Coturnix japonica: one gene and its partners. The protein of the gene in region 2 binds, or shares a complex with, the protein of the main gene of each other region. Links are inferred from orthologs where the notes say so. Each region holds a gene or a part of one and is shown on either strand. Other genes may lie near its edges. The genes, in order: ARHGAP1, CDC42 and FMNL2.

Region 1 (3,813 bases), on a different chromosome or scaffold from region 2:
TCTGTAGGCTTTATGACGGAGGAGCAGAAAAGTGGCAGAGAGGAAGCAAGAACATGAGAAAAAAGATCGGGAGAAAGGAAGAGAGAGGCAAAAATCTTCTGAGCGTACTGAAGTGAACTGTAAATCCTTACCTGGGCAGGTAAGGAACTCCTCAGCTGGGGACAGTGAAAATTCACTGTGCTCACTGTAGTATGCTACTAGTAGTGTAAGAAATGAAAGCAACTTTTAATGTTCTCAGATGCCAATGTAGACACTTTGGAAATGTTGCTTTCTTTCCTGCAAGTAACTACAATTGTTCTTCAGGACTGCGTTGCTGGGCTTCCTGCCCAGCTGTTCTGGCATCACTGGCCCACATGCCCATGCAAACACCGAGATGAACCCAACATGAGGAAAAGGACAGATCCAGGTCTCCTGAATGTGCCTCTTTTTGCCCCATCTCTAATTTTCTGCTGTGGATCCACAACCCACACCCTTGTCCATTTCTTCCCTGCACCTGCTGCTGGCTTTGATGTTTGAGATGGCCTTGAGGTGCTCATTCTCAGTCCCTGGCACTTTGGCTTGCCACGGCTCATGTACGGGAGAAGTGCTTTCCTCTCCTGGCAGCCTATGGAAGCATTTGGCAGCAGCCTCTGGGCTTCAACAGGGGACGTCAAGGACTCTGGTTTTGTCGGGCCGCATCCTGAAGAAGTAGGAATCGCCTGCACAAACACAGAATCACGCTGGGTGAATTAACCGGCTGTTGCTGGGTCAGAGCACAAACCTCGGGGAAAGAGGCCACTACCCAGCCATCCCAGGGCTCCGCAGGAAAACCATCACTCTATGACTTCATTTATTTAACGACAGAAGGTGGGCAAAGTCTCCCCTCACCGCAGAGGGCAGCTGGGCAGGATTTCTACCGCCCGTGGAGGGCTCGGTCCTGCAGCGGGCGGCTCGCCGAGGCCGCAGGCACGTACCAGCGGGGGCTCAGCCGCCTCCAGCTCCGGGCCACAGGGCGGAAGGCACCGGAGAACCGCGGAGGGCGGGGCGGTGTTTCCCCGGCGACGGGCAGCGCTTCCGGCGGGAGGCGGATGCCGGAGGGGCCGGGCGGGAGGAGGCCGCAGGTACCGGAGGCGGAGGGGGGTGGCGACACGGCTGTGCTCGGAGCAGCGGGGCCTGCAGGCCGGGTGTCAGCGGGCACGTACGGTGCGGGCCGGGCTGCTGGGGAAGGGGAGGAGCCGGACGGCTGGGCGGGAAGTGGCCCCGCTCGGGAGCCTGGAACGGGCTGCTTGCATGGCCGGGTGCACGGAGAGAATCGGCCTCGGGGCTTTGTGTTGTGGAGTCGGGAGAGCCTGAGGTCTGTGACTGAGTGACTGCTGCTGTGCAGTGCGGAGAGGAGCCCTCCCGTGGGCCGTACCTTGTAAGAGTTGTTATCCCTCGTGTTTTCATTACTGGGCGGTGTTTGCTGTGCGGGCTGTAGCGCGGTGCAGGAATTGTTTGGTGTGTACGGAAATACAGAACGTTTCTGCTGTTGAAGTGAAACCGGCGGGAGCTGCAGGTGGCAGCAGGGGCAGAAAAATAACGGCAGCACCGGAGCGGGGCGGCTTTTTGGTTGCACGTTGCTTTGTTAGGGGGTACCGGGCTCCTTTCTGGTGTGCCAGTGCAGTGCAGCAGGGTTGTGTGTAAGCAGCGTCCCGCTCAGAAGCGGTGTGAAGGTTGTGTTGTACAGGGCTGAGCTTTCCCTCCTGCACAACGTGCTGTTCTGCACCGCAGCTCTCATAGCAAAAATGGCCTTTTTCTTTGGCTGGAGAGCAAAGCACGTGGCTCAGCGAGTGCTGAGAGCGGCCCGGACAGGAGCAGAAAGCACTTGGGAGGAATGGAAGTAGTTGGCTCTTTGGAGAAGTGCTCCTAATGCCAAGTGTGGTTCTTTTGTTTGGAAATGTTGAAGTAGGCCTTTAACTTTTTAAATCTGGGATCATCATTGTGCTTGTATTTTGATTGGCTGTGCAGGGTGTATGCTTTGCGTCTTGCCATGCTATTTCTCTGCTAAATGTGACGTTCTTAGACCGTGTTATGTCTGGTGAAGTGCTGTTGTCTGACAGCTGTTTTGCCCTTATACTAATGCAGGATGGCCGTCCCAGTCAGCGGCAGGTCCAGCTTGTGGCTCGTTTTGAGGAGGTGGAAAAAATCGCGTGCAGTCACTGTCAGAAAACGAAGCATGTGGAGTTGTGAGGATCTAAACAGAAGGGCTGTCCTGGTTTCAGTTCCACGCTTAGTTTCTTACCTCTCAGCTCTCACCTCCGGATCTTCTCAGTGCCCATCAGTTCCTGGACACATAGAACGCTGTGTTTTTCTGAATCGCTCTGATGCGAGAGACTGTGTGCTTCTGTCTTTAGCACCAGTGGGAAAGGGCAGGGGAAGTTCTGTAGAAAGCCCTCTGAAGGTCCCTGGGGCTTCACAAGCAGAACCTGAAATCTAAGAGGTCTTCTCTGGGTTCTCTGCCTGGTGTGGAACTGTAGACAGTCCCGGTGACCTCCTCCTGCCTCATGGTGCCACACCAGCACTAATTGTAGGAGCGTGCCAAAGGGGAAGTCTGCCAGTGCTGTCAAATAGCCAACACTTATAGCACTGGTGGTGTGCTGCCAGTTGTCCCTGAAGCCAAGTTGTGGTCCTTGTAGTGAGAAGGAGGGAAACTTGGTGTCTTGCTGGCCTGGTGGCAGTACTATCGCTTTTCTTTGGGATGGTTTGGATTTGGTCCTTACGGGCATCAAGACTGCTTAGGGGGCACTGTTATACAGGGCATCCTCAAGAGCTTGGTGTAGAGGGCATCTCCCTGGGTCAGTGGCTGGCAGCAGCTGAAGGTAGGTAGGGCCTCTGCCCACTGGAGTGAGGAGTGCTTGAGAGCTGCATTAATCATGCCTTGTGCAGGGCTGGGCGGTGGGGCTGCTGAGCTGCAGTGGGAATGATTTCAGCTCACTGAGTCATAGGGATCAGTGCCTCGCGTTACCATAGAAATCAGAGCAGTTGCTAGGGGTGGGGAGTTGCTTGTCATTTGGCCCTGCTGCTGCGTGGTTCTGGCATGAGCTCATGGTTCAGAAGAACCTGATTTCTTGCTCTCTGCTCTTCTGAGAGCAGAGAGGTCAGGCAGCTCTCAGTCCTTGCAGGAGGGCAGGGAAGGGCCTTGCTTGGGCCTCTGCTTGGCTGCAGTGGTCAGACCCTGTGTGTTTGCCGTACAGCCTTGACCATCCACTGCCCAGATGCATCTTGCTCTTTCATATTTCGGGAATCTAATTTCATTTGCTTAGCAAGGCCCCTTGCCCTCTGGGAGCCTGAGAGAAGCGAAAACTGGTTGTAAAGTGGTGAGTAAGAGATAAGGGAGGACAGGAGGTAAGCTTCTGGAGTAGTCTGGGGGGAAGGGACAAATGGTAACTGTTCCATTTCCTTTTATGTCAAAATACACCTAGCGTGGTCTTGAGTGTTGCCCTGAACATGGCTGTGACACCTTCCAGTGCTTGGGCTCTTGCAGGTCATGTCTTCAGGGCTTGATCTTTTAATTTGGATGGATACACAGTCAAGCTCTAGGGATGGAAGATGCAATATATTCTTGTCCCCTCCATTCTGCTAAAGGAAATGGCTTTACTGTAATTATCTTCTTTCCACACAAAGTCAGTGTGCCTCCTCAGATCATCTGTTAGCTCTTTGCTCCCCTCGTAAGGCAAAACAAGCACAAGCCTGTCGGAGCAGCACTGTTACAGGGAGTCTTGCTGATGTAAGGTATCATTTTGTGTTCCTACAGTTCCTCTTGGCTTGCTGCCTGCTGGCTGTTGAATTACTGTC
Region 2 (3,519 bases):
GTCTCTATCATTTTGAAGTAACTTGTTTTCTGGATGAGCTGCTATGAATTACCAAGGGAGAAGCTCAAGGTGTCACCTCAAAAAGCAGCTCTTAGACTGATATATGCTATGCTTAATGCAACTTAAGAACTGACAGCTACCACACTATTCAGCAGGGCTCGTCACAACAAGCTGATAAGTGCAGACATACACAAGATAGGAAGTGAATGCAGCTGAGTGGGAGAATTTTAGAAGTCTGAGCTTAAAGCACTGCCAACATAACACCTTTTAAGTCCTACTACTTAAAAGAAATGAAAGAGTCAACAGCCATTGCACAGCCCTACATTCAAAACAAGCCTGGTCAAGCAGAGCGTGACTCAGTGGGCACAGCACAGCAAGGTTCCCATCTGCTCACTGCTCGGACCTCAAAGGAACCACCTTCACATGGACTCAAAGAAGAAGGCAGAAGTCATCCCACATTAAACCCTGAGAAGCACGGCTGCTTATCCCAGCTCCCCTCCCTATAGCCAGACACATTTAGAAGCACTACAGCTGACACTGGCAGCAGCACAGTGAGCACTTTTGCATAAGGGCAGCCACCCTGTGCACATCAGCTGCAGCACCCAGTGCATGGCTCAGCTGCTGGTGCTCCATGCGTAGGAACTGCCCCAACACTGTCTGCAGGAAGCAGCGTGCTTATCTCAGGCCTATCAATATCACTGCTGATAAAGGGATTATACTTTGTTGGGAATGATGTTCCAGAAGAGATTTCTCATTGATGCTTTCCACTCCACATTAAAGGAACTTGGATCAGAACCCATGGACACATGCATTCCAGCATAACGGGGTGACAGGAGCCATGGTCAAAGCCTACAGTGCACTAAGTGTGTAAGCAGAGCTCCTGCTACATACTAGAAACCCATATCGCTTCCTTTTAATGCAACAGCACCTCCATATCTGTTGGTTTTTCATCAGAAACTGAGTATTAAGTGTGAGGATAATTACAACCCCTATATACCAACACTCCTGAATTGGAGTAGGTTGACATTCATCATCATGCCTATGGATGGAGCCAAAGCTGGGCTGGCCACAGCAAGCAAGGACTGAGGGGCTGCAGTGTGCAAGGCTGTAGGTGACTTAAAAGCTGCATCTAAAGACACTTCTGGTACTGCAAGCGTGTTTTATCCTGCAGCTTTTATTCCTCAGCAAGGCTTTAAAATGCTTTGCGTCCTTATTACTGCAGCATATAAGCAGTAAACAGACCGAACAAAGAGTCGTTTCACAACTAACAATATTAAACACATTAACATATTGATTCATTCATGCGTTACCTGCTTCGGATGAAGACTTGCCTACACTCCACCCCATCATCTCACTCATTTCCAAGCCAGAACAACACATTTTCCACATATAAACACCTGAATACAAAGCCTTTCTATCTAAACTTGTTCCTGTGCAACAGAGCCAAGCTCCAAGTGCTTTACTGACTTACTCCCATTAGAAACACTAGAAACTTAACCTGGGTTTTAATTATTCCTCTAAAAAAAGGCCATTTGGGGTGCTCCAATGGAACACTTTGAATAAAGCCAGCATCTCTTTCACAGGCTGCCCAGGGAGGTTGTGGATGCCCCGTCCTTGGAAGTGTTCAAGCCCAGGTTGGATGGAGCCCTGGGCAACCTGATCTATGGGGTCTCCTGGGCAACCTGATCTAGTAAATGTGTATGTTTGGTGGCCCTGCCAGGCAGGGGGGGTGGAACTACATGACCCTTGAGGTCCCTTCCAATCCAGGTCATTCTGTGATTCTGTGATTCTCTTTCTTTATGGTAGAAGTAATACAAACAGATGCAATCACAGACTGAACTACTTTGGCCTGCACGTCTATCACAGCCTCTCATCCAGGCCTTGCCTTCATGGTGCTCAGTCTATATGGTTAGATAGCAGTGCTGGCTCTGCAGCCTGCAGGCAGATGGGGCAGGTACCATCCTTATCTCCCCCAAGCACAGATTCCACACACACCTGGGCCACCACCACCATCAGCTTACAAGAAAAGCTACTATGAAAGGGGCCACACTATATTTCATCTCAGAGAGCTCAAAGATGGAAGAGAAATCCCCCCCCACATCAACCCTCCAAGCACAGCAGCCAACAACCAGCCATATACATCAACGGGACGGCGGATGACCCAGCACCTGGGCGAGACAAAAGCCGGGCAGCGCCTCCCAGCTCTTTATAGGGAGAAGGAGGAGAGGGAAGGGAAGGAAAGGAAACGTTCGGCGGTTCCTAAAGCAAAGCCCACACCCCAACTGCGCCTCGGAACTACTTCAGAGCTGGGCGGCGCTCCCGGAAGAAGCACAGGCCCAACCTGCGGCACCGACCTCCGGCTTCCCCTCCTCCCTTGCGGGGCTCACAACCCGCAGGGCCCAGCGCTCCGTGCCGGGCGGGGGGCAGGACGAGGAGGAGGCCGAGCTGGGCCGCGTAGGCCGCGCTCCCCCCCATACACACACACACACACACACACACCTCAGCCCCGCTCTGCGCCAACAGCCCCAACCCAGCGGCGGGGAGGCCCCACACACACACAGCCCGCACCCACACGGTCCCGGTTCTCCGCCCCCGCTGTGTGATGGCGGTACAGAGGCGCGGTGCAGCCCGCACACCCGCCCGCCGCTCCCGCCCCGCTCCGCCGCGGCCGCTCACCTCAGAGTCTCCGCCGGGCGTTGGCGGCTCGCTGCGGGGTCTCCTCGGCTTCAGGCGCAGGGGCACGCTGCGGGTGACGTCATCGCGTAGCGCTGGGAGGGGGGACGCTGCGGGTGACGTCATCGCGTATTGAACGAGAAGGCGGAGCGCGCTTCCGGTTTGCTCAGTCGAGGCCTGTGCGGCCGGTTGGGTCGGAGGGGCGATAAGGCCGCTATGTGGGTCACCAGCAGGGTTAGTTAGAGCCCAGGCCTCTCCCAGCCGCTGTTTGGTGCCTTGTTCCTAATGCAACTCCCACCCTATGGACCCAAAACTGCATTAGGGGCAGGCTAAGCCAAGAAGAGGCAGCCAATAGGCCAGAGGCACTTAGGGACCCCCCCCATAAGCTTTATCAGGGACCCCCCATAAGCTTTAATAGAGACCCCCCATAAGCTTTATCAGGGACCCCCCCCATAAGCTTTATTAGGGACCCCTCCATTAGCTTTATTAGAGACCCCTCCATAAGCTTTATCAGGGACCCCCCCATAAGCTTTAATAGAGACCCCGCCATAAGCTTTAATAGAGACCCCTCCATAAGCTTTAATAGAAACCCCTCCATAAGCTTTAATAGAGACCCCTCCATTAGCTTTAATAGAGGCCCTTCCATAAGCTTTGTGAGGGACCCCACACATAAGAAACCACAAGCAGAGGCAGCAGCCATCACCCCAATCCTTTGTACATCAGCTTACAGTTCTTAATGATGGGAAACAGATAAAACTGGGGCAGGAACACCTTCCTCCCAGAGAAGCATAAATCACAGGTCTCCGATGTTGCTGTAATTAGCACTACAGCCCATGCAGTAATTAA
Region 3 (3,746 bases), on a different chromosome or scaffold from region 2:
CTCGAGGGTAAGGATTTCTTCTAGCACACCGGTGGTGGAGGATGCACAGAGCTGGCAAGCATCACTTTTTACTTAGCTTCCTCCTCTCTCTGTATGCCCAAAGCCTGGCAGTAGCTGTGGCGTAGCATAGTGCTGGTGAGGGCCTGAAGGCAGCGGATGTTCAGCCCAATGGTTCCCACCTCAGTGTGGCAGGGGGTTGCTGAGCTGCTGGCTGGTCACCACCTTCCTGCTCTCTCTATTTTGGCCCTTCCATGTTGAGCCCGAGGTAGGCAGCCTCGTCCCAGGTTGTTTCTGCCCGTAGATCCCTGGCTGTAGCTCCCAGCTCCTGCTGCCCAGTGCTCTGCGGGTGTGTGGTGCTGCAGCCCTGGGAGGGGAACCAGTGATGGACAGTGGAGGCTGAGAGCACAGGGCAGCGTGGGTGGCTTCTGCTGTGCTGAGAGCTGAGGAGTCGGGCAGTGGGGCTTAGAGCAAGCTGTAAGTCATCCAGGGAGTACATGGGAGGGTTTCCCCAGCGAAGCACCCATTTTATTTTTCCCCAGAAAAAAAAAATTCTGCTTAAGTTACGTGTCAGGCGCACCAGGCGTGCTGTGTAGCTCATCTCCGTAGCACAAGAAGCCAAGCAGTCACCTGTCCTCACCACGCTCTTAACACGGGCTTTGTTAAACTCCCACCGCTGGCTTTCTCCATCGCATGCTCAGTACTGCCCTCCTCCCCGCTCCCAGCCCCAGTAGCAGCCCAGCCCTGCACCCCTCGGGTGGCAGCCGTGGCTGCAGGCTTGCAGGCTGGGTGCAGGGGGATGCCTGCTTTTTCTCAAGGCACCTTCTGGTAGTTGAGTGGGTGGATGGGCCATGTAGATGCATGCCTGTTTTGGTGAGCACTTATCCCATCATGTCCTGTGTTTCACGTTCACTGGGTTCCATCCTGCATCAGAGAACTCGTTCAGTGCGGGGCGGTGAGGCCGTGGCACTGCTGCCCAGAGCCCCAGGGGTGCCTGAGGCCGCGGGGCGGAACTGGGTGATCTGTAAGGTCCCTTCCAACCCTGTTCCCTGGTTCCGTGTCTCTCACCTTTGGGATTTAGAGGCTACACAAACAGTGTTAGTGAATACCAGCTGCCCATAGGAGGGCGAACATCCAGCCCAGTGGCACGGCTCCGTTAGTGCCCCCAGCACTGCCTGCTGCTCAGTGTGTTGCCATAGGGCCATCAGCTCGCTGTTGCGGTGGGGCCCACTCCCTCCTCCCGTTGCTACCCAAGCTGCTTTGACTGGCTTCCAGCAGCCCCGATCCCTGCGGCGCTGCGCGTGTGGTTTGAGCCGTGCCTGCTGACCAGCGCCGCTTTCCTCCCCGCAGATCTTCGAAACCAGCCGTACCGCCGGGCCGACGCGCTGAGGAGGAGCGTGCGGCGGCGCTTCGACGACCAGAGCCTGCGCTCTGCCAATGGCACCGAGATCACCATGTGAGCTGAGGCCTCTGCGGAGCCGGGCTGCCAGCGGTGCCCTCCCTGCCCGCCTTGGGAACAGTACGGTTACCCCCTAAAGGGCTCAGACACCTAGAAATGCATAGGAACGTCAGCGATGGGCTCTCCACTCAGCCGTAGCTAACAAGTGCCTAAAATGGAAGTACCTGCTCAAATTAACCGAAGCAATAGGACTTGATTTGATTGGGTATCTTTTGACACCAATACATTATTCAGTATTTTTAACCAAAAAGTAAAGTATGTGTTGTTTTGGGGTGTTTAGTTGGGTTTGATTATGTGAAAACTTAGCGATCGGTCTTCTGTTGGCCGGACCTGGATCCCCACTGGTTGGAAGGAGGTAACTCTGGATGTGCTCTGCTGCTGGGCTTCTACATGCATTCCTGTCCTTGGCCGAGGGCTGACCTTGGCTTCAGCTGCACTTACTGGCTTTTCTTTTGTTAAAGAAACAGAACACTTAAGGGCTTTCTGTATCTAGTAGGGAAATAGCGACAAGAAGAGCTCCGTACCTTGTTCCGCCATACAGACCCTGTGCGCCACAGCTGGACGTGGTAACGCAGTTGTGTGCTGAGGAGACCTGTGGGCAGGGAAGCTTTTGTTGGCTGTAAGGCTCGGGGTTTGGTGGTGTGCAGTGTGGGGCTGAGGCACGAGGGGCACGGGGGGAACCGGCACATTGTGATCGCACAGCGTGGGAATGGCAGAGAACGCATCGCCTGCCCTTCAGCTAGAGGCAACTTTCATCTAACAGTGTATTTATTAATTAGCACTAAGGTATTAACATCTCAGTTATCACCACTAGGGTTCCGAGGACCATTACAGCTCCATACTAGCACAGAGATCGCGTTAGTGCCCCATGCAGCTGCGTCTCCCTTTGACAATCGCGCTCCAATTCAGTCCCAGGGCTCACACATTCATCAGCTGCCCTGTGAGGTTTGCAGTCACATCCCAAAGCTCCCAACAGGCCGGATTGGCGCCCTGTGCACCCTGCATGGCCTGCAGCACTGCCTGGAGCCGGCCCAAAGGAGGAGTGTGGCCGCAGCCCTGTCTGTGCTTCCGAGCTCGTTGTGCTCACAGCTTCCCCTCCTGGCATCGCCGCCTCAATACGTTCATTGTAAAATTTATTGTATAGTATTTAACCACTGAATTTCTTTTCTTTTACGTTGTGCTTATGTGAACCACTGGTGAAGGTCCCGTTTTTCTTGGATAATGTGTAGTTATATGATAATCTGTTTTTAAATGTACAGATATTTTGCTACAAAATCGGTGCCGTTTTTTATGGTTTTTACACTCCTTTCACTCCCACTTTTGCCTCTGGGTAATATTGTAAATATTGTTTAAAAAGCAAACAAACAAACAAAAAAGCATCAGCCTGTGCTATACAATCCGAATGTCGACTTAACTTATCGTTTGTGTTTTTATATTTAACCGAGTGGGCAGCTGAGGGCTCAGTCACCGCATTGACCTCCGCTCACCCATCCACACAGCGCTCCCTTCATCGGCAGCCAGGCGGTGGTGGTCGGCGGTGGTCGGCGGGCTGGGAGCTCTGCTGCCTCATTCCTGTGCTCAAAGGTATTTTTCTTTTTTAAACCTAAGGCAGAAACGATCGTTGGACTGCAGTGCAACGCTGGCATGTTCTCTTTCATCTTTTTCTAGTCATAGATCTGCTTCTTAGCAATATTAGAAGTGTTTTATAAAAGCAGTTCATGTTACTTTCCTGGTCTGTTCCTGGCATAAGAGCAAATAAACTATTTACACTACTACACCGTAATCCATCCTTTCCTTCTTTTCCAAGTGACTTTTACAGCGTTTTCTTCCCCTGTGCTGGGGCCGTGCCCCATTGCTCAGCACTGCTATGGACAGAGAGAGGCTCCACGCTGCAGCGCAGCTCACCCAGGGCAGGAACACGGCTGTGCCCCAGCAGTCCTGCAGGAAGAGCTCCGCGCAGAGCAGCAGTGGTGAGTTGTTCCCCCTAAATGTGCAAAAAACCAACAGCAAAGTATTAGAGTCCTAAATGTACAGCGAGCAGCGCCATCCGAGCTGCGATCCAGGTGTCACTGACAGGAGGGTTCAGCAAAACAGCAGAACCAGGGCTGTCACCTGCAGCTGTCTGTCTGTCCATCCTTCTGCCATTTTTTGTACCAGAGCTGTTATAAGGTGGAAAAAAAAAGCCCACAAAAAGCCCCACAGCCCAAACATAAAGGTGAACATAAAGGTTCACCTTTCCAGAGCTTGTTTGCTCGGCCAGGCAGAATGCACTGAAACCAAAAGCTAAAGG

The links.
Region 1: the proteins of CDC42 (region 2) and ARHGAP1 are in contact, whole or in part, in a crystal structure (PDB 1GRN), measured with the Homo sapiens proteins. The link is inferred for Coturnix japonica from reciprocal best matches to the Homo sapiens genes CDC42 and ARHGAP1. Residues at the interface, in NP_001034891.1 of Homo sapiens: Asp11, Gly12, Ala13, Tyr32, Val33, Pro34, Val36, Phe37, Gly60, Gln61, Glu62, Asp63, Tyr64, Arg66, Leu67, Leu70, Ser88, Glu91, Asn92, Glu95, Lys96, Asn132; in NP_004299.1 of Homo sapiens: Glu278, Gly279, Phe281, Arg282, Arg283, Ser284, Ala285, Asn286, Thr287, Gln288, Asn309, Glu310, Val316, Lys319, Arg323, Asn385, Lys386, Met387, Asn391, Val394, Val395, Pro398, Asn399, Trp402, Ala403, Lys404, Ala406, Ala407, Thr409, Leu410.
Region 3: the proteins of CDC42 (region 2) and FMNL2 are in contact, whole or in part, in a crystal structure (PDB 4YC7), measured with the Homo sapiens proteins. The link is inferred for Coturnix japonica from reciprocal best matches to the Homo sapiens genes CDC42 and FMNL2. Residues at the interface, in NP_001034891.1 of Homo sapiens: Val36, Phe37, Asn39, Gln61, Glu62, Asp63, Tyr64, Asp65, Arg66, Leu67, Arg68, Pro69, Leu70, Pro73, Ser88, Glu91, Asn92, Lys94, Glu95, Lys96, Pro99, Glu100, Thr102, His103, His104, Pro106, Lys131, Asn132, Lys133; in NP_443137.2 of Homo sapiens: Ala41, Met42, Asn43, Leu44, Pro45, Lys48, Leu52, Tyr55, Lys59, Glu62, Leu63, Asp66, Gln67, Arg69, Phe70, Lys73, Tyr79, Arg108, Glu109, Ile112, Ser113, Leu114, Arg115, Thr116, Asn117, Ile119, Val122, Asp219, His222, Met226.

What each region holds. Positions count from the first base shown.
Region 1 is NC_029520.1:20,940,469-20,944,281, forward strand, and holds the start of ARHGAP1 (rho GTPase-activating protein 1), read left to right. Parts: upstream 1-997; 5' UTR 998-1,100; exon of another isoform or gene 1,101-1,182; intron 1,183-1,209; exon of another isoform or gene 1,210-1,396; intron 1,397-2,611; exon of another isoform or gene 2,612-3,335; intron 3,336-3,813. UniProt on the Homo sapiens protein: GTPase activator for the Rho, Rac and Cdc42 proteins, converting them to the putatively inactive GDP-bound state. Cdc42 seems to be the preferred substrate.
Region 2 is NC_029536.1:5,530,743-5,534,261, forward strand, and holds the start of CDC42 (cell division control protein 42 homolog), read right to left. Parts: upstream 2,801-3,519; 5' UTR 2,677-2,800; intron 1-2,676. UniProt on the Homo sapiens protein: Plasma membrane-associated small GTPase which cycles between an active GTP-bound and an inactive GDP-bound state. In active state binds to a variety of effector proteins to regulate cellular responses. Involved in epithelial cell polarization processes.
Region 3 is NC_029522.1:30,439,097-30,442,842, reverse strand, and holds the end of FMNL2 (formin-like protein 2), read left to right. Parts: coding exon of another isoform or gene 1-54; intron 55-1,347; coding exon 1,348-1,457; 3' UTR 1,458-3,239; downstream 3,240-3,746. UniProt on the Homo sapiens protein: Plays a role in the regulation of cell morphology and cytoskeletal organization. Required in the cortical actin filament dynamics.